Linked DNA regions of Styela clava. The main gene of each other region encodes a partner of the protein of the gene in region 2 in a complex. Links are inferred from orthologs where the notes say so. Each region holds a gene or a part of one and is shown on either strand. Other genes may lie near its edges.

Region 1 (10,519 bases), on a different chromosome or scaffold from region 2:
CATAAAACCCTTGTTTCTGGACAGCGGCATCATTTTTTATATTCTGCCTAGTCATATGAGTCAGCAAAACTTTGCTGTGAATGCACTCATCGAGGCATATCCTAATTACCAGATGTCACTAATGTGGCATCATCACAGAGGTTCTTCTAATCTGTTGTTCTCTTCATGATTGTGTTTTTTGAAGTTAATTTTTTGAAAAATTGTTTCTTCGCTATATTTGCTGCTTGAATTCAGGTATCGCTGACTAGATGATGTTGCGACCCCTCCTCAATTGCTATGAATCAATGTTTTTCTGTTTCTGTTAGTTTTTGTTTTGTGCGTTAATTACTTTACTTTGATTCTTGCATGGTGAAAATAATTATCTAAATTTGAATCTGCCATACCTTTTACTAAATCCATTGAAACTCTCAGCAATAAAAGTACCCAGAACTGCAACACCATTAGTATGAGCACTGTTGATCCATCCCACAGGAGGAATAGTTACAAAATGGTGACTAAAATAAACGAATGTATCGACAATATCCCAGTATGCTAAGTAATACCATTTATCATCAGTACTGATTTTGCCTTGGACGAACCTAGAACAAAATTAAAAAGTATAAAAATGATGAATAGATAACATACATGGAAAGAATGCTTGTAAATTGACCATGGACTGCCATTTTTCATCAATTTGACTTGTCAGTCAACAACAATCACGTATTAGAATTAAATTTAAGTCGATTGCAAATCATTCTAAAGGGCTTTTATCAATGACCTCTGAAGATATATTGTAAATGAGAGAAAATTAACTAAACCTCATTGAGTAAAAATTCTTTAACTGTACAATTTCAGTGCCGGAGAATATATAGTTAATAATACCAGTGAAGAAAAATCTCACAGTTAGATAAATATATGATACCAGCCAATATTTTGTTGTCAAGGTAAAAAAGTGTCAGTTACAGAATTCTGTTGGCAAATGAAATAAAAGACCCAGCAAAATGCTGTTATAAATGGTAACTAACAACTGACTATTCATATTTCTCAGAAGTTTAATTTTAAATTAGAACAATCCATATTGCATACATATGTGATAAAATATGCGTTTCATCAACTTAACGAAACTTAACTTAAAATAGCCATCAATCTTTTTTGTGTCAATATTTTAATTATTTTATTTACTGGTAATAGTTATGGAAAACTGTAAGGTATGCGCGTCACAGTTCCATTACATTTGAACCCACGTACATTTGAACCCATGACAATTGCACCTGTATGCTATTGCACCTATGGAATTTTTTTTGTTTCACGGTTAGTTAAACCCATACTAACCCTAACCCATGGGTTTTAGCACCCGCATATAGATTGAACCCGTGGATATACGCATGGGTTCAAATGTACGGTCACCGCGCGTCACATTTGTTAGAATATACTTTTTTGATACATGAAGTTGAAACGATGATATATATAGGCCTACCTGTCATCCAAATATCCACCAGCCATGTCATGACATACAAGGGTTTTTGTTGATCCAGTTGGAATATTTTTCCCAAGATAAGGAACTGTAGCTACAGAGAATATCTGCCCACTATCTTCTGCATCGTCAGGTTTCCATGAAAGTAAATCTTCCAAATCATGCAAAGGAACTGAAACTGGTAAACCATCCTCCACACTTCTACCAGTAAATTGAGAAGGCTTTTCAAAATCAACATTCAGTAACTTCACTTCTTTAGATTCACTCATAATTTTCAATTATTTTTCTAGGAAAAACAAAATGAAAAAATTGTTTTACACTTGCGTGGCTGATATTATTTCTTTAACTAGCTGGTGACAGCTGAATACAGTAGAAGAAGAAACCTAGTAAATGCATGGATTTACTTTTGTTGACCAAGTGTACACAGCAATTCCAGAAGCTTGTAATAACATTATAAGAAGAAGTATTTGGCAAAAATCATAAAGTTTTTGTGGTGTATTCTTTAACAATAAAATACATATTTCTTCTGATCTGCCAGACAAGATCAGTGATGAAATTTGGAAATTGAACTACTTAAAACAACCCTTTTCAATGCATTCCATTTTTGCCTATTTCGACACACTTTATTCCTTTGATATGATGCAGCATTCAAGTACAGAAACCTTGTTTAAGAAGTATAAAATAAGACATGATTTCTAAACTAAAAATGCTGAGTAAAACAAAACAATCCCATCTTACTTTATCCTTGCCTAGATTCAAATGGCGACAAACAGTTGCCAGATCCAGTTCAACAATTGGTGGAACAGATCCTGAACTCAAGTCAAAGTTTTGTATTGTTGGTTCTGGGATATTTGATTTAGAGTGTACTAGAATAAATAAAAATGAATATACATAAATATAAAAATATTACAATATATCAAACAATTTATTAAAATTGATGAAAAAATTAAAATGGATTACTAAAACAAGTTTCCTATATTCGAATACTTTCTAAACGTTAAACCAAATCATGATTTAAATCATGCTGTATTGCTTGTTGCACTAGGCAATCATGATATGACAAACTAATCAATATAAGATAGTGTTTATCGAATGAAACATTCAAGCTATGACTAATTTGAAAAAAAAAACAGGTCGATCAGTCTTCTAATTTTACCTATAAAATGATAACTAATAATAAATAAGAGTATTAAAATACAATCAAACATTAAAACAATATATATCGGGATAATGTTAAGCTTCAATTTCTATAAACCACTAAAACCAGATTATTTTTCTAAAGCTATTCTTGGAAATATAAGTCAGAAAACAGGTAAAATAATATTTACTTTCAATTTCTTCTTCCAATGCTTGAGTATGAAGTATGTTGATGATGAAATATACAACAGGAATAGACACTGCACCGATGCAACCAAGGATTGGTAATACTATTGCCCAAGCTCTGAAAAAATCGGGTTGTAATAAATCAATAAGAAGAATGAATAAATGCATTGGGCAATATTGCATATTATTATGTTCATCTATCTCAAAATGACTCTATGCATCATCCGAGTACCATATAGAGTACTTTTTTTTATATTTTGATGGTCCTGATCAAAAATTCTTATACAAAAAGCATTTTTGTACTCGCATATATTTTTAAAATTTGTGTATAACTATGAGAGAAAAATAACATAATACGAATTATACAAGTATCATATCTTCCCAGGCCAAAGAAATCCTAAAAACAGCAGTATAAACTTATACATCTATTTTCAGCGCCTGGCAATTAGATGAACCAGAGTCTAACTATACTTAGCTTATACTACATAATGACAACTCAAAAAGAGGGATGGATACATGTTCCCAATTAACATTTGAACAACCTGCTCCGTACAAAAGGTTTGATTTTAGGACATACACATTCAAACTTTCTCCTCAGCTACAACTACAAAAAAACAGGTTGATCACAACATGAAATATAGGAATGAGTCACAAGCGAGATGTTACTAGGTTCAAAGTATTTTCATAAAGACTTGTTTTGACTTCCTACATTTTAAAAAGTTTAATGAGCAAATATATTTTAATTTTCATCCTTACTTGGTAGGAAGATAAGTTAGGCCAATACTGTGAAGGACTTCATCAGGAACATATGCCCATATCACAAACAGTGCTGAAAAATATACATCATTGTCATTATTATTTCTTTGTGGTATATTCACTTGATAACATGGACAAAAAACAACAACCAAGTAAACGATGGTCATTTGCTCATTAGAGATTCAAAAGCTAGCAGTTCATATCTTTGAAAAACCACACAGATATATGAAATGTCAAGGGGCCTTTGCTAAATTATTTCTTTAAATTAGCATATACAGATATATGAGACATTGTTAGAAAAAAGTCTTAAGCCAATTACTGTATTGGCGTAAGAGAGGAGAGCAAAAGGCAAATCCTATGGAAATGAAAGACATTTTCAAATTCATACTGAACAGACATCTGGAGAGAATTGCTTTTAATTGTCATAGTATTTCCCAAATACTTGTAAAGATGAGCGTTACACTTTAAGAAATGTGGAAAGCGTCCATTACATAAATCACATATATAAAATCTCATACTAGAAACAATACTACATTAAAACCATACACATGTGAATATTGTGGGAAGTCAGATTATTACAGTCAGATTATTACATTTGCCCAACCAAGAAAACAAACTGTGGCTATTAAGAATACACTATAAAATCCTCAGACATGAAAATTGTATTGTCATTTAGCAACCTTCAATATCGTAATACCGGTACATGATACAAAGAAGCACTAGGTTTTTTAAATTAGCAATGCTCATTCACTGATTCAAATATTTTTGTTTACATCTCTTTTGATCACCCTTTCCAGTTCAGCAGTTATGCAATCTCAGGACTGAAAAATAACTCTGACTCACTCACCGAATAAAATGTAGCTTGCTAGATAAAGGACAAATCCATACGCCGCTCTCTCCGGAGATGGACCTGGGCTTGGTTGAGGCATGAACTGATAAATAAAAGAGGCAAAAGCACCTAAAAACCGACGACGGCAGCAATATATGTAATTAATAATAAATACTACACAAAGTTGGACAACACTAAAAGGCTGAAAGAAGAAACGGATGAGGTGGAGGAAAAACGGAAGTTGAGGTGTTCCCAAACACTAAAAGGCTGAACACTAAAAGGAGGAAGTGGATGAAATTTCTTCCGACGGGTGGTGAGGTGTCTGAAGTCACTAAAAAGCAAAGCTGAACACTAAAAGGAAGAAGTGGATGAAATTTCTTCCGACGGATAATGAGGTGGTTGAAGTCACTAAAATGATGAACACTAAAAGGAAGAAGTGGATGAAATTTCTTCCGACGAATAATGAAGCGGTTGAAGTCACTAAAATGATGAACACTGAAAGGAAGAAATGGTTGAAATTTCTTCCGACGAATAATGAGGTGGTTGAAGTCACTAAAAAGCTGAACACTAAAAGGAAGAAGTGGATGAAATTTTTTCCGACGAATGATGAGATGGTTGAAGTCACTAAAAACATGAACACTAAAAGGAAGAAGTGGATGAAATTTCTTTCGACGAATAATGAGGTGGTTGAAGTCACTAAAAACATGAACACTGAAAGGAAGAATATAAGTATAAGTTTATTTCGACTCCATAATCAGCATAACAATACATTTGACAGATAAAAACAAATAAATAAAAACTGATTATGAAATCAGGGGAGCAAACAAAACCTTAGATAAGGTTTATAACGTACAAAATATAAGATGGAAGGTTTTGCCAAGAGGAAGTGGTACGTGTTTAATCACCTAAAATTATTAAGTTATTTCACACACGCTCACATGCACCCACCAGCCACACACACACACAACCAGTGAGAAGTTATTTAAGTAAGAATAAAACGCGATAAATTTAGGGTATACTATACAGTAAACAAAAAATAAAAAATAAATAAATACTAGAAAAGAAAAAAAAAATTATCTGCCACACCATATTGATATTTTTGTAATGGTTGCCAGAAGAAGTGGATGAAATTTCTTTCGACGAATAATGAGGTGGCGGAGGTCACTGAAAAGCTGAACACTAACAGGAAGAAGTGGATGAAATTTCTTCCGACGGATAATGAGGTGGTTGAAGTCACTAAAATGATGAAAACTAAAAGGAAGAAGTGGATGAAATTTCTCCCGACGAATAATGAAGCGGTTGAAGTCACTAAAAAGATGAATACTGAAAGGAAGAGGTGGTTGAAATTTCCTCCGACGAATAATGAGGTGGTTGAAGTTACTAAAAAGCTGAACACTAAAAGGAAGAAATGGTTGAAATTTCTTCCGACGAATAATGAGGTGGTTGAAGTCACTAAAAAGCTGAACACTAAAAGGAAGAAGTGGATGACATTTCTTCCGACCAACGACTCTTCCGACGAATAATGAGGTGGTTGAAGTCACTAACAAGATGAACACTAAAAAGAAGAAGTGGATGAAATTTCTTCCGAAGAATAATGAGATGGTTGAAGTCACTAAAAACATGAACACTAAAAGGAAGAAGTGGATGAAATTTCTTTCGACGAATAATGAGGTGGCGAAGGTCACTGAAAAGCTGAACACTAACAGGAAGAAGTGGATGGAATTTCTTTCGACAGGTGGTGAGGTGGCTGAGGTCACTAAAAAGCTAAACACTAAACGGAAGAAGTAGGCTACGGTAGATGATATTTTGTCCTATCGATTTTGAGGCGGTTGAAGTCACTAAAATACCGAACATTAGTAGAGTTAAATAGCCAAAACATATCCCGACGGAAGTGAGATTGGATGAAGACCCTGAAAGCGGACTGATGAGTAGGCATGCCACTTTTAGATTTATGAATTGAATCGATTCAAATCGCAATTCATTTCGAATCCGATTTACGCGATTCGAAAGAAAGAGAGCCGTTTAGCGAAGAAGAACAAACACTCCAAATAACACCAATTGCCAGACGGGAATGTAAATGAATTTTTCGTTATTTACTTCTATTGATCTGCCTTCGTTCATTTTCAAGTTCAGCGCAACACACCCTGATCATCACTCGAGATGCTGACGTGCTGTGTGGGTAATTAATTTCCTTCAATCTCTCAGTTGAGTTTTCCACTGAATGACCTAAGTTTCTATCACACGCAAATTTAAATGGATCGTATACCCGAAATTTCGTTGCGATTTTGTTAATAATTTGCAACAGCACACCTTCTCTGCGACTAAGTTATGGTACGCCTTGACATGAATTGATAAACGATCAGATACCGACTTCTAGAAAACATTTAATTTTGATTGAAATTTAATTTAAACTCCGTTGAGAGTGAAATATTTCGCGTATATATTTGAAGAGAACTATTACTGAACAAGTTCATTCGCCGGGCATGTAATTGACGATCATGTTTTTTTATCCTGACATTTATATTTATGCTATTTTATTCCCATTTGTTGTACCTCCATTTGAGTAGCGGTAAACGAAATGAGGGAACACGTGGTAGAACAGTTTTCGGTTGGAGGTTTACGGTTGGAGGTTTATTTTAAATGGTTTAATTACTTTTTTGTGTTCGAGCAAATTCCTGAAAGCATTTCTTATTTATAGTAATCCCGATGCAATTAAACTGTCTTTGTCTTATTACACTATGCTGCTAGCATGAATATATGCTCGGTATCTCCTTGTTTAGCAAGCTCTATCGCAATAATGAGCCCATATATCACAGAGATGACAGAGATCTGTGTGTACAAAGTTTTCCTTTATGTATAACCCAGAGTCACAAATTATTGTACTAATATTTTAGAGATGAAAAATCTGTAATGAGTCCAGCCTTAATTTAATATAACAATAAGTGAAATACCACAGTCACATATTCTGGGGTGGGACTGCGGGAACCAATGCTGTTACTGTTGCAGCACTGTTTAAGATGGTACAATAGAATTGTTTCCTGCGCTTATTTTCACAATTGAGTTGCATCAAATTGCTTCAGTCCTAAGGGGATGGTTGGTCAATACCGAATAGTTCACTATTTCGAATACATTCGAAAATAAAATAAAGTAATTGAGGCTTATCTATAGTAGCCTATATAAAGGAATTTGCATACAATAAACAATGGAATAACTGTCATCAACAGCACGTTGTCTACCATGCATTTCATGTTTGCAGATTACTGCTATATATTTTCATATACCATGAGTTACGTTATCAGAATTAAATTAATACGGCAAGCATTTAAAATAGTGCTATCGGTCATGGATTTGAACATTTTGCGCAACACAAAATCATCCTAGTAAAAGTTTGAATACCAACTATTATCCAAATTATTTGCCAAAAAGCGGGATAAAGTATAAATTATATTTCTGATTGGCGACAATTTTTTCGTGAGTACGTAAACACGAATGAAAAATTAATTATATTCGGGCACTTCAATGTCCGCATATATATCTTTTATTATTTTATAAATACGAAAATATGAATCAAGAATTAATTATAATCGGGCAGTTTACCACACATTTTTAAGTCCATGGATCGCCGTTGTATTTTGTATATACGAAAATAGGAATAAAAAAATAAATAACAATCGCGCAGTTGACCACACATCTATGTACATAGATTGCCGTGGTATTGTGCCCGAATATAATTAATTTTTGATTCCGTATTTCATTCCTTAAACTTAATATCTATTTTTAAAATTTTGCAAGCAGTTCACGCACGAAGACTTGAAATAATGATGTATTAGTCAAATTGAAGTCCTGTTAGACCACTGGTTCTTAACCAATGTGCCATGGCCAACTGGTAAGCCTCAGAGCCATTTTGAGGTGGGCCACAAACATATTATGAATTACAAGGTTTGTTGACTGGAAAAATTGATTTGATAACAAAATCAGCTTCACGCGTCTTGAAAAACAAGATATCTATTTGCAAAATATGCCTCGCCGTAACCCACCCATTGTGGCGCAACAAATTCATTATACGGCAGTAACAGCTAGAAATGAGTATATATATATAGCAATTTGCTTGCACATTACATCAAAATTAAAAACAATATAACGAGAATGTCATGGCCTTCAATATTCGCCAGGCTCGAACTGAGAATACCATATAAAAAATTAACATAAAACGAATCCACGAGGACATTGTCTCATAAATATTAAACTAATATATTAAATTTTCTTCACTATCCGTCGGAGGAAATTTCATCCACTTCTTCCTTTTAGTGTTCAGCTTTTTAGTGACTTCAGCCACCTCGGAAGAAATTTCTTCCACTTCTTCGTTTTAGTGTTCAGCCTTTTAGTGTTTTTCAATTTTTCACCTTTGGGAACACTTCAACTTCCGTTTTTCCGCCACTTCGTCCGTTTCTTTCTTCAGCCTTTTAGTGTTGTCCCACAAAGTTTGCTGTAAAATCCCACTCAGCAAAATATTAGTGTGCCTATCGTAAAAATTAATTAGGCCGTGACAAGTCACGCTATGCGACAGGGGATCAAATCTCATCAATATTTCCTTTGGGAACACTGCGGAAACGTACCGTATTTTTGCTTACACGTAGTCGGTTGGTTAGTTGCTGTTCACATTGGCGATATGCTATAGTGGTGGTAGCATAAAAGTCATATTGGGGATGGCAGAATAGGGATGGCGAAATACGGTCGAAAGGTGGCAGATTAGGGATGGCGAAATAGGGACGAAAAGTCAAATTGGGGATGGCAAAATGCGGTCGAAGCGTGGCAGATTAGGGATGGCGAAATGCGGTCGAATGGTGGCAGATTAGGGATGGCAAAATGCGGTCGAAGCGTGGTGGCAGATTAGGGATGGCAAAATGCGGTCGAAGCGTAGTGGCAGATTAGGGATGGCAAAATGCGGTCGAATTGTGGAGCAGACTAGGGATGGCGACGTTTGAGAAAGTGAAGGGCATGGTGTCAGTGTTACCGTACCGTACATCGGTACCGTACGAACATTTTAAGGTTCTTAAGTTTAGCATGTAGCCTGAATGTACCTGCATATGCCAGGATACGGTAATACAGTAATAGGTACGGTATGTACCGTAGTGAGTACGGTACCGGTACCGGTATGTGGCCCATTACCGGTACATCATTAATCTGTTAATGCTAATCCAGTCCTTGGCGGCATGGGCAGCGTAGAGAATGGCAGTAGACAGAAAATAAGAGATTTAACATTCTTCTGGTTCAAATTAGGCTACTCTGGCAATTGTTTTGGTGGTAATTACAAGGACAGACCGGTACCGTACCAAGACTTGGACTTTTAATTAATATGGTAACGGTAGACTACCGGTACGGTACCGTATCATTGGACTACGGTACCGGTATGCCTTTGCGGTGGAATTATTGTGTGGCAAGATGTAGGCACGAACACGGTATGTCAAATTGGTACTGGTAACATTGCAGCATTGTGTGGAGCAAGCGATAAACTAAAAAGTGAAACTGCTAAAGCCATTTGACTGTTTGAGTGAACTCCGCAGACCTAAGCAAAAAGTTAATATGCATTCTAACCATTTGATATATTTAATTGCTGAATTGTCTCAAATTAGCCGTGGTGTGGCTCATCATGCTAAGCCTGCGAGCGGAATAAGCTTGGCATCGCACCTCTTATTACTTACACTATGTCAGTCTGTGTAGGTTCGCAGGGTAAATGTGGAGATTGTTAGGAATACGCTCGTCACCCCATGGTTATGTGCGAGAGGATTACTGGACTCCTCGTCGCAGTTGGGTGGTTCACATAACTCATGTAACTGCTGGTCGGTTACAGCTTCCTCCACCATCTGGTCCATTATCTCTCTCCTGGGATAGATATGTAGATCCTATCGTTAGTCCGAGCGAGACACATGTCATGTCAATTAACTGTAGTAAAAGCCCCGAACTTCCAATTCCATTATAAAATTTGATCGTAAATGACATTAAGTCTATAATGACTACTTGAAACTCTGTCAAGTATTTTGATATAATTTCAGATATGAAGATTAAGGTTATCTAGTCTTTAGGGATATTGCTGCAATGACTGAAGTGAGTCTATTTGTGCCAGAAAGGGGATCAAGAACTTTATAGTTTGCACTTTC
Region 2 (9,433 bases):
TCTTCAGTAGAACAATCAATTCCTTTCAAAAGAGCATTTTTCACTGCATCTACTCCTTCATATGTATAGCAAGATACTTCAACATCTGTTAGAAAAAAAAAAATTCAAAGATTGTTCAGTGACCAATACGGAGAGGGAATTGAGATAAAACTTGGAATATGTAACTGCCAGGAAGGTCATCAATAACCAGATATCAAAATATACCTGATCGAATTTTCATTGCTTGCGGAGTCAACCTTCTCCTAATATTTTTCATCAAAACTGATTTCTCTTCTTCTGATAATTGGAGTTCATCAAGAACTTGTGGTTCACTATAAAATTGATGGTATTTTTTATTTTTTTTGGAAAGTCTTCAACAAAAGCAGATTGAGAGGTGTAAAAGGAACAGATGACATATTACAACAGTCTATATGTAGATTTATTTTTGCATAATATATGACAATATACTTGAGACTTAAATGCCAAGGAATATCGATATCAAAGAATTTTGTTAAAACTAATGAGATGGCTGCTTTTTTTTATCAAATCTATTGCAAATTTGCGAAATCATTACTTAAGTCTATTTTTTCAGAAAAAAAATTGTTTTGTTTCATCTTTTTGTGACAAAAAGTAGAATATCAAACCATTCTAATATGGACAATCGTGGTGGCCTTGAAGAGGGAGTATTGGAAATTTCATGAGCAAGGTACAAGCTCTATAAGATTCAGATTGATAATCCGAACTTTTCGTGGCACAAATGCAAAATTTCACAGAAATCAATTACACATAGAGAGGTACATAGGTACAATTATGCAAAAAGATTGGCATTTACTCTATAGCTCTCTTAAATAGATCATATGAAGCAGGATATTTTTCAGTTGGTCTCTTATATTTTGTATCCAACGCCCAGGCTGTTCGGTCAAATAAATCTTCAAAATCTTCATCTGTCTGAAAACCTAGAAGTTCAGCAGTATGACGAAGAATGCTGTAAACCTGTATTAAAAAATTTTTATTTTTTTGCTTTCATTACATGTTTCAAAATTTACTAAAAAAGTTTGATAAGTTGAGCACTAGCTCTGGTCAAAATGTTGTTTCACATATAGTTTCAACTTACAAGCATATGAAATAAAGTTGATGCCTTATTTCCCAAAAGACATCGATAAAATTCAGAAATCCACCAGATCATGGAATATATAATGATGATTCAAAATATATAATGAAGACCGCAATATGAATACTTTCTTATACCTAGCATGACCAAACATAAATTCTAAACTAGATGAAAATACTAGACATCTAGTATATCAACAAATATCGCTGTATACCTCTTAATTAACATGCCGTAAGAGTAGTAAGTAAATCCTAGTGAGCGTTAAATTATTGAATAACAATATTCCTGCTACAGAATTAACACTGAAACACTACTTACACATTTTGCTTTTGAATACTTATTTTCACATTTTTTTGCTTCTTCTTGTGAAACTCTTCTTTTTGATAAATCAATGTAACCTGAAAAAGTAGCAAATTATTATAAAATAATCACAATATATCAAAAGATAAAAAGGCAACAATAGCATTGCAATAATGCTAATCCAGCAATTTTTGTTAAATACTATGACAAATCGTGATCTTCAAAAATATAACTTTTCTATCTATAAGACACAAAAGTTGATAATCAAAATGTCAGTACTATAAGACGATAAACAACAAAAAGAACACATTTTCGCCTATTTCGTTTTGAATCGGATATTGAAATTTGCAAATACATAAATTTCATTGAATCTTATTTATTAACAATCGCACGAAACTCCCTACCTTTTTCTTTATCTACTCTTATAACAACGACACATTCATCACGACCGACACGAATCAACTTATTGATAGATCGAATACGACGTCTCGACAATTCACTAAGCAATATCATTCCTTCAATGTTATTGTATTCAAGCAATTTAACGTAAGCTCCCATCTCTGCGATGGATCGAACATTCACCATGACAACATCTTCAACCTCCGGAAACTTATCCTTATAATATCGACACGAGATCGGCATTTTGAGTTAATTTGCTAACAACTATATAAAAATATACAATTCAAATAAAAACAATTAAAAACATAAAACTTGAATAAAATTCTCTTATATAGATTAACCAATAGTCAAGCATATGATACACTTTTTCATATTTATCCCAGGGACTCAAATCATATGGCAAACTGTGGCCTTTTGTCTGTTCAACAGACTAGAGCTAAGTCAGTGGTTATGTGACGCAACCTGGAAAAAACAACAAATATGTCTACAGTAATTCTTTTGCATATAGACATACAAATGGAATCTATGAACCGAACAATATAAACATATCTTCACATTTGAAACAATTCTTAATTAAAGAGACGTGACACTTCTTTTCGAACAATCGATACATAAACAGTTTGTACAATCAAAAACTATACATCGATAAAATTTTCTGAATGAAACTTTTTCAACCAAATTCATTTCAATAAATATTTAAAAAACAAAAATTATAATATCACAGAATAAGAAGCTGACAAACTATTCTTTTTTGAATGATTTCTTTTCCGTAAATATCCGAGGACTATCCGGGTCAATTACTGCTTCATCCCAAGGTCCATAAATATTATTTTTATGAATTTGAAGAGACATCAACAATAGAGGACAGATGAAATTAACAAAAACAATTAGAAGTAGAAATAAGAGACTTATATACAAATGAATAAAAAGTAGTAACAAAAACGTTGCTATACTCAATAAAACAGTAAAGGGATCCATAAACCACGGAGTTTCACGCCTTAATGTTCTTTGTAACATGGGCCAAAATCCAAAAAGAAATAACGCTAAAATAACAATAGCGAATACATGCTCCGAAGAATCCAATCGAGACGCAAGACATACTGACGAAAACAATGACATATTTAACGATACAGCTCTAGAAATTGGCGCAGCATCAGACCCATAGTCATGAAACAGTAAATGTCCTAAAATCATTAGAACACTCATTGCATATATCGTATCAGTACTAATAGTGTGCGTCAACGTTTTTAATATCGGAGATAAAAAATCAGTTAAACACAATACAACAACTGCTGTTTTAGCATTACTAAATAACGCTTTCCATCTCTCACCCTGGCTCGTTGTTAAATATAAATACACGCAGAAGCCTATTACTGAAACAGGCATCAGCCATTTTAACATAGTATATGGAGTATATAGGCCTTCATCGAGTAACCACCAGCTAACGATTAAACAGCTGACTGTACAAAGTTGTTGAGTAATGACTTCAATTTGACGAACGAGATCCCAATATTCATATTTTCTGATGTAGATGTTCTTTCGCATTTCCGTGAGGAAAGACTCATCCACATAATTGTCTGGAACATTTTGAACTTCGTACAATACTTTTCTCCATTTTTTGCGATTAGTTGTCATTCTTGAACACGCTTATATCAACAGCCAAAATCAATATTACTCTATGAATAGGTTAAAACTGAAATTTATAATAACAATGGCTCAATACCGGTACTGTAATAATAAGCACATACAAGACAATCTATGAACAAATTTATCTGAGGAACCTGTTCTTTTATCTGTTTATAGCCCAGTGGCGGGCCATTACAAACAAAATATCGTATCGTACGGTCTGACGGTACCGGTACCAGTAGGTATGGATTAGTTAGCCGGTACGGTAGGTACCGGTATTTGTTCTACAGTTTCAGATACCGGTACCGTACATGGTGGACGATAAGATAAGTTTATTTCAACTCCATACTCAGCATAAACGGCGATAAAACGGTTGATTAAAACAAATAGAACTCGTTTAGTCATACAGCGGCACAGACTAACCACAAAGTTGAGCGAATTTGCTCTATGATGGTTCACCATGATGGGCGATGGCGCAAACACCAACACGAAACACCAAAAACTCTACAGTCCACACATGTTAGGGGTGAATGATGCTCGAGATCCGGATCCGGCGATCGCTTCTTATTTACACCGTAAGCGACACCCAAATCTTTTGACAAAAAAATCCGTCAACTTTTTTGGGTCTGGCGGTTACCGCAAAGAAACACAATTGTCATCGCATTACAAACCCAATCGTCATAATTATGCGCGAGGGGATTGCCAGACTTCTCACCCTCGCAAGTGGTTAAGGCTTCGCGCCATTCAAATACGCTCAAATCAATTACCTGATGAACTCTTCCTATTCCCGATTTGGGTTATGTTAACGCTGACTCGTCAAATTTCTTCTTCCTCTGGATTTCATCCTTTTTTTCTGTTTGGCACCCCATCACTGGAAAGGATAGGATTTACATATTTATCCTGGGGAAGAGGAGAGCCGATAAGACGGCTCAATCATATGGCGGACCACGGCCTCTCGTCCGGTTACCAATCCATGTCGAGTATGGAACTTGTTAGCTAGTTTATTTTTGGAAGCATAGACTTAAATGCTCTTTTGCAAATTTGTGTACCTACGACAAAAAAATGATAATTAGTAGTAAACAATTTATTTGACCATTTACTGAATATTTGCGCCTACAGATTATAGAATAAACTAAAAATGTCGTTTCGTGGTGCAGGGGAGTGCAATAAACCAGTCGTATCATCGAGCAGCAACACCTTTAAAAAAGTCTAATCTAAGTTGGGAAATAAAAATGGATTTTCATGCGACCTGACATTTCCACTCGTTGTACTATAAGAAAACAACTCCGAGCACGACATGCTGGTAACCATACTGCGGCGAGATGCTGCGTTCCCCTCTTGCTGTCGAAATGCCGTCTGAAATTTGAGTGTCCCCAAGAAGTTGTATGATGAGAACGTTTGAGCAAAGATCGAGAGATGTGCTCAAATAAATTGTTAATCGACATATCACATGTAAAAATTGGATTTTGAATTCGACAGCGATAATGAAGTGTTATTTGTGATCAGCTATTTACGGCAGTACGGTTACATTTTGAAACCTGTAGATCTCAATCAAATATTTTCCGTGTAGTTCGCGCAACTGTTGGTTGCTTGCAGTATTCCACTAACTACGCCTATGTATCTAGATCTTGCAAGTACTGTACGGCTATGTCTGTTTACCTATATTCAGGGTTGGACTAAACATTGATCAAAATAAGGTCACCACGAGAAAGGATGCACCACAGAAGTTTTCACGAACTGGCTATCTCAGTGTTTAATGTAATTCGAGTTGGTAAGACGATTCAGACCTCAATATTGTCTCGGTTTAATAACTTGATTATTTTCTCTTTTTCAAGTACCAGCTTACACCTCTCTATAAATGTTTGTAGGCAAGAGAATTATTTTCAAAAAATACCATGTAGATTAATCATAACTTAGCTTTAATTAGTACCGTGGTAGTGAATACTGAAACATATTCAGAAAACATGGAACACTAGTTTTCATTATTATCATTTTATATAAATAGGGCCCAAAGTATTAAGTGCCTGGGGCTCCTAAGCGGCATGATCCGGCCCTGCTTATATTAACCAGTTGTTTTGGTTTCACTCGCTTCAATAAGACCAGTCACCTCCTGCACGTGTTAACAGCAGCATCGAATATTTAGCGAAATGGTCCAAAGTCGCACTTTGTGTTCAATATCAGTACTCTGATAACAAAAAATTCCTGTTGAATCTAAATTAGATATTGGAACTTTGGACGTCGCTGCACAAAATTCGGGAACGGTCCCACGCGGCGCCCCTTCATCGGGAAAACCTTGCGTTTATTTTGTTATCGTAGTTTTGTTGTGATTATATCACTAGTAGACCGCGAGCCGAGGCCCTGAAAAACGCCTAGAAAGTGAGTTTCGTAGCGCACATCAGGTAACTACCTGAAAATGATTTTAAAATGTTCCCTAAAAATTTAGTAACAAATATTGCCTTGTTCCCACTTCCAAAAGTTGCACGTTTTACGGAAAAGACGCTTTTACTACAAGAAATATGCGCTACGATCTGTCCTATATTCTCTACATTTTCGGCACTGAACAATGACTTCTGCATGACGTAACAATTGAATTAAACCAGCTGTTAGCGAGCGGATGAATATTAGTTATTTCTGCTCGACCTTGCGCTGAGTTGGGCAGGCTTTCCATAGCCCTGTTTAGTTATTATTAGTTAAGTTATGCTAAGACGTTGTTGAAAAATGTATAAGTAAATTATTAAACACTTGTAGATCCTTACCACGGATATGGGCCGCGAGACGAAACCATGAAAACGCCCAGAAAATGAGTTTCGTAGCGCACATCTGGTAACTAAATAAATTCTTCAGTTTTGTGTGAAAACGAACATAATGAACGCATTACAGCTTGTTCCACAATCCTGGTGCGAAATTGAATATAAGAGGTTCCCGGAAATTCAATAACCATAAGTTTACAACGCATACATAAGAACTATACAATTCGAGAGCCCTACAGCACACTAACACAAATGTATTCCTGTAATGTTTTGCCTGACCAAAATCGGACTTCCTCAGTCAATCATAATTTATTAGGTAGATTACGAAAAATATGGCATACATGTAACCAACAACAAAAAATACTTTAATTGTGTGACAGGAGTCGGGAGTGACCTCGAAAGCAGCGACACCAACAACGCTGATTCACATTTGAGAATAAATTTTATGTAATAACCACAAGCAGTTTACAACAAGAACAGCATAAAAAGCTACATCCATTTTATAGAAGCTATCAAGTATCAAACGTATTTATTTTTAAGCAATGAAGTCACAAATTAACATCGTGAGCACGAAAACACAAATAAATCAGTTATTTCTCACTTAGAAATTTACCGCAAAAGTCAAGAAAATTAAATGAATGTACAATATGTACATAACATAGTGAACAGAAATATTACAATTTACAATTAATCTTTTTTTAGTTTATGTGGTTATGTATTTGAACAAAGGCAATAATATTTCTAGAAACAGGACTACGACACTAACAAATGTCCGAAAAAAAAAACAAATGTATGATACTTATTAAATCAACTGTAATATCTAATTCACTTTCTTCTGAATTGTTTTCGAAATCCACTATCTCAAAAATCGACTTTTCCTCTATAGGTGTACTGTGATTTCTGCAGTCAATACAAAAACAAAAATCTGTGCAATTTAAGTTGATTTTGGCACACTTTCATAAATTATTTTGACTATTTTTCTTTGCAGTTTGCCAACTCAAGAACTGATTTGAGGGCCACATGCTTCTTCAGTGAATCATTGTTGGGTGGAGAGTATAATCCTTATGTTTGACAGTGTTAAATAGACGTGCCCTGGTATCATTTACATTCTTCATATCCTCTTCAAATTCCTCAGCTTTATTTATTAATACCTCGTTAACCTCAAAAGATCTTCATAGTCGAGGGAAAAAAATGAATTGAAAATCTCAATGAAGTCTCCAACATGAATTTGATGGGCAATTCCAATTGCAGAAAAGTGCTAAAGTATTTCAATATGAATAGCCCATCTAAGCTGTTTGCAACTATTATGATTCTCATATACCTTTAAGCTTCAAGACTTCTTGTTTAATCCATTTTATAGCACTGATAGCAGCAGGGATCAGAGCCTGCGTTAGGTCGGATTGGTGGAACATTGCCGTTTTCTTTTGTAGTACAGTATCTAAAATAAGGAAGAAAATAATATTTGGAGCAGCATGATTTTAAAAATACCCCTAAATACTAACTAATACCTTGAATACATAATGCATTTTATCTGATGTACTAAATGAGCGTATATATGCTCATTGCATGTTCTACAGTCCAGCAGTGTTTGCATACCATTACTAGACTATATCTACACTAGATTTTGATATATCACAGTCTGAAATGTCCTTTGACAGTATGAGTATGGACTATAGACTACGGTATATTTTGAAACATCAACTGTTTGTCTACAACTTCATTTCTCACCTCTCAATCATTTCCAATGCTACCTTTCTTTCCACTCCAGCATAACTTATCATTGCTTCCCAGGTTCTTGTCGACTCAATGAATTTAGATTTAGACCAACCGACATTAGTAAAATTGATTAATTTCTTCTCTTTCACACAACCGTGCATTACAGAAACAGCCATTCATTTCTATTTCCAAATATGCTGTGGCCTATATAGTAATATAAGTCTGCTGAATAGTCAAGAAGAGTCATTAAATTAATCATAAACATTTCATGCAAGCCAGAAAATATCGTTGTTTGTGACATATTATTCTAGGTCTAGCCTTCCTTGGAGTTACCGCACCGTACCTATTTAACAACGTCTTATGAGCTAGTGCTCAACTAAAATTGCTATTTATGGCAAGGATATACAAGTGTTTAATATCTTACCTATACTTTTCTTTTTTTTTTTTTTTTTAAAGGTCCACGTTGTGGATTCATAACAGTTTTGTAAAAATAAATAAATGATGAAAAAATAATAATCATAGAACATAGTTACATATAATAAACAAATATATTTGTAAACATCATCCAGTATTATCCAGCAATTCATCTTACCAGAATAACTGGACTAATATTACCGGTAACTGAAAAAAACTATGGAAAGGCTACTCAACGCAAAAGCGAGCAGTTGAGTACATCTGATATTCATCCGACCACTGGGGATCCACCTACAGCTGACTAACTTGACTGTTACGTCGTGCATAAGTCTGCGTTCATTGGCCCATGATACCGGAAAAGCAGAGAAAATAGGACAGATGGTAACACATATTTATTGTAGTAAAAGCGTCTTTTCTGTAAAACGTGCAACTTTTGGAAGTGGGAACAAGGCAATATTTGTTACTAAATTTCTAAGGAACATTTTAAAATCATTTTCAGGTAGTTACCTGATGTGCGCTACGAAACTGAAAGATAAATGGCCTCGGCTCGCGGCCTATAGCTGATAAAAATAAACTTGACTATGATAAACAGGATAAACCATATGTCCCTCTCTTTATTCGCAGATCCTCCCCCCTCCTTTTTTTAAATGTAAAAATAAATAAAAGCATCTCTCTTAATAATACATAGCAATTTTTAGATCCTCAAGCTTCATGAAAACACGTGTTTTCCGGATTTTGTCCGGACTCGCTGGCTGTTTCGATCTAACTTGGCAAATAGAAATTTTAGAATCACCCCCCCCCCCCCCTTTTGAAAATTTCTGGATACGCCTCTGCTCTTCCCCTTCTCTCTCATAAATTGTTTTAGGTAATATTCCGTATTTTTTGTGAATTGGGTTCCCGAGTTATACTTTCACCCAAGTCCGCTAAGTGAGTATTGTGACAACATATGTACGTTTCAACGAGTTTATTCATTTATGCAACATTTTTCAAATATAAAATTAGACAGTTTTCCATCGTTTACGAAAGATACAAATGTTAACTCTCGACTTTGTGAACGTGTAATCATACTCTGGAAGTATTATTATAATCGAAACCTCTGCACCATAGGTAACAAGTTGTGTTGCGGGTTAATATCTTG

Evidence for each region.
Region 1: phosphatidylinositol N-acetylglucosaminyltransferase subunit C-like (region 2) and phosphatidylinositol N-acetylglucosaminyltransferase subunit P-like share a complex: the UniProt entries of both Homo sapiens proteins name them as parts of the glycosylphosphatidylinositol-N-acetylglucosaminyltransferase (GPI-GnT) complex. The link is inferred for Styela clava from reciprocal best matches to the Homo sapiens genes PIGC and PIGP.

The regions. Positions count from the first base shown.
Region 1 is NC_135253.1:15,185,501-15,196,019, forward strand, and holds phosphatidylinositol N-acetylglucosaminyltransferase subunit P-like, read right to left. Parts: upstream 4,462-10,519; coding exon 4,380-4,461; intron 3,606-4,379; coding exon 3,533-3,605; intron 2,895-3,532; coding exon 2,782-2,894; intron 2,320-2,781; coding exon 2,192-2,319; intron 1,814-2,191; coding exon 1,796-1,813; downstream 1-1,795. Other genes in the region: cytosolic endo-beta-N-acetylglucosaminidase-like, read right to left, coding at 384-578, 1,457-1,722. UniProt on the Homo sapiens protein: Part of the glycosylphosphatidylinositol-N-acetylglucosaminyltransferase (GPI-GnT) complex that catalyzes the transfer of N-acetylglucosamine from UDP-N-acetylglucosamine to phosphatidylinositol and participates in the first step of GPI biosynthesis.
Region 2 is NC_135250.1:6,446,235-6,455,667, reverse strand, and holds phosphatidylinositol N-acetylglucosaminyltransferase subunit C-like, read right to left. Parts: upstream 3,525-9,433; 5' UTR 3,425-3,524; coding exon 2,531-3,424; 3' UTR 2,054-2,530; downstream 1-2,053. Other genes in the region: eukaryotic translation initiation factor 2 subunit 1-like, read right to left, coding at 1-85, 205-311, 812-972, 1,409-1,488, 1,795-2,032. UniProt on the Homo sapiens protein: Part of the glycosylphosphatidylinositol-N-acetylglucosaminyltransferase (GPI-GnT) complex that catalyzes the transfer of N-acetylglucosamine from UDP-N-acetylglucosamine to phosphatidylinositol and participates in the first step of GPI biosynthesis.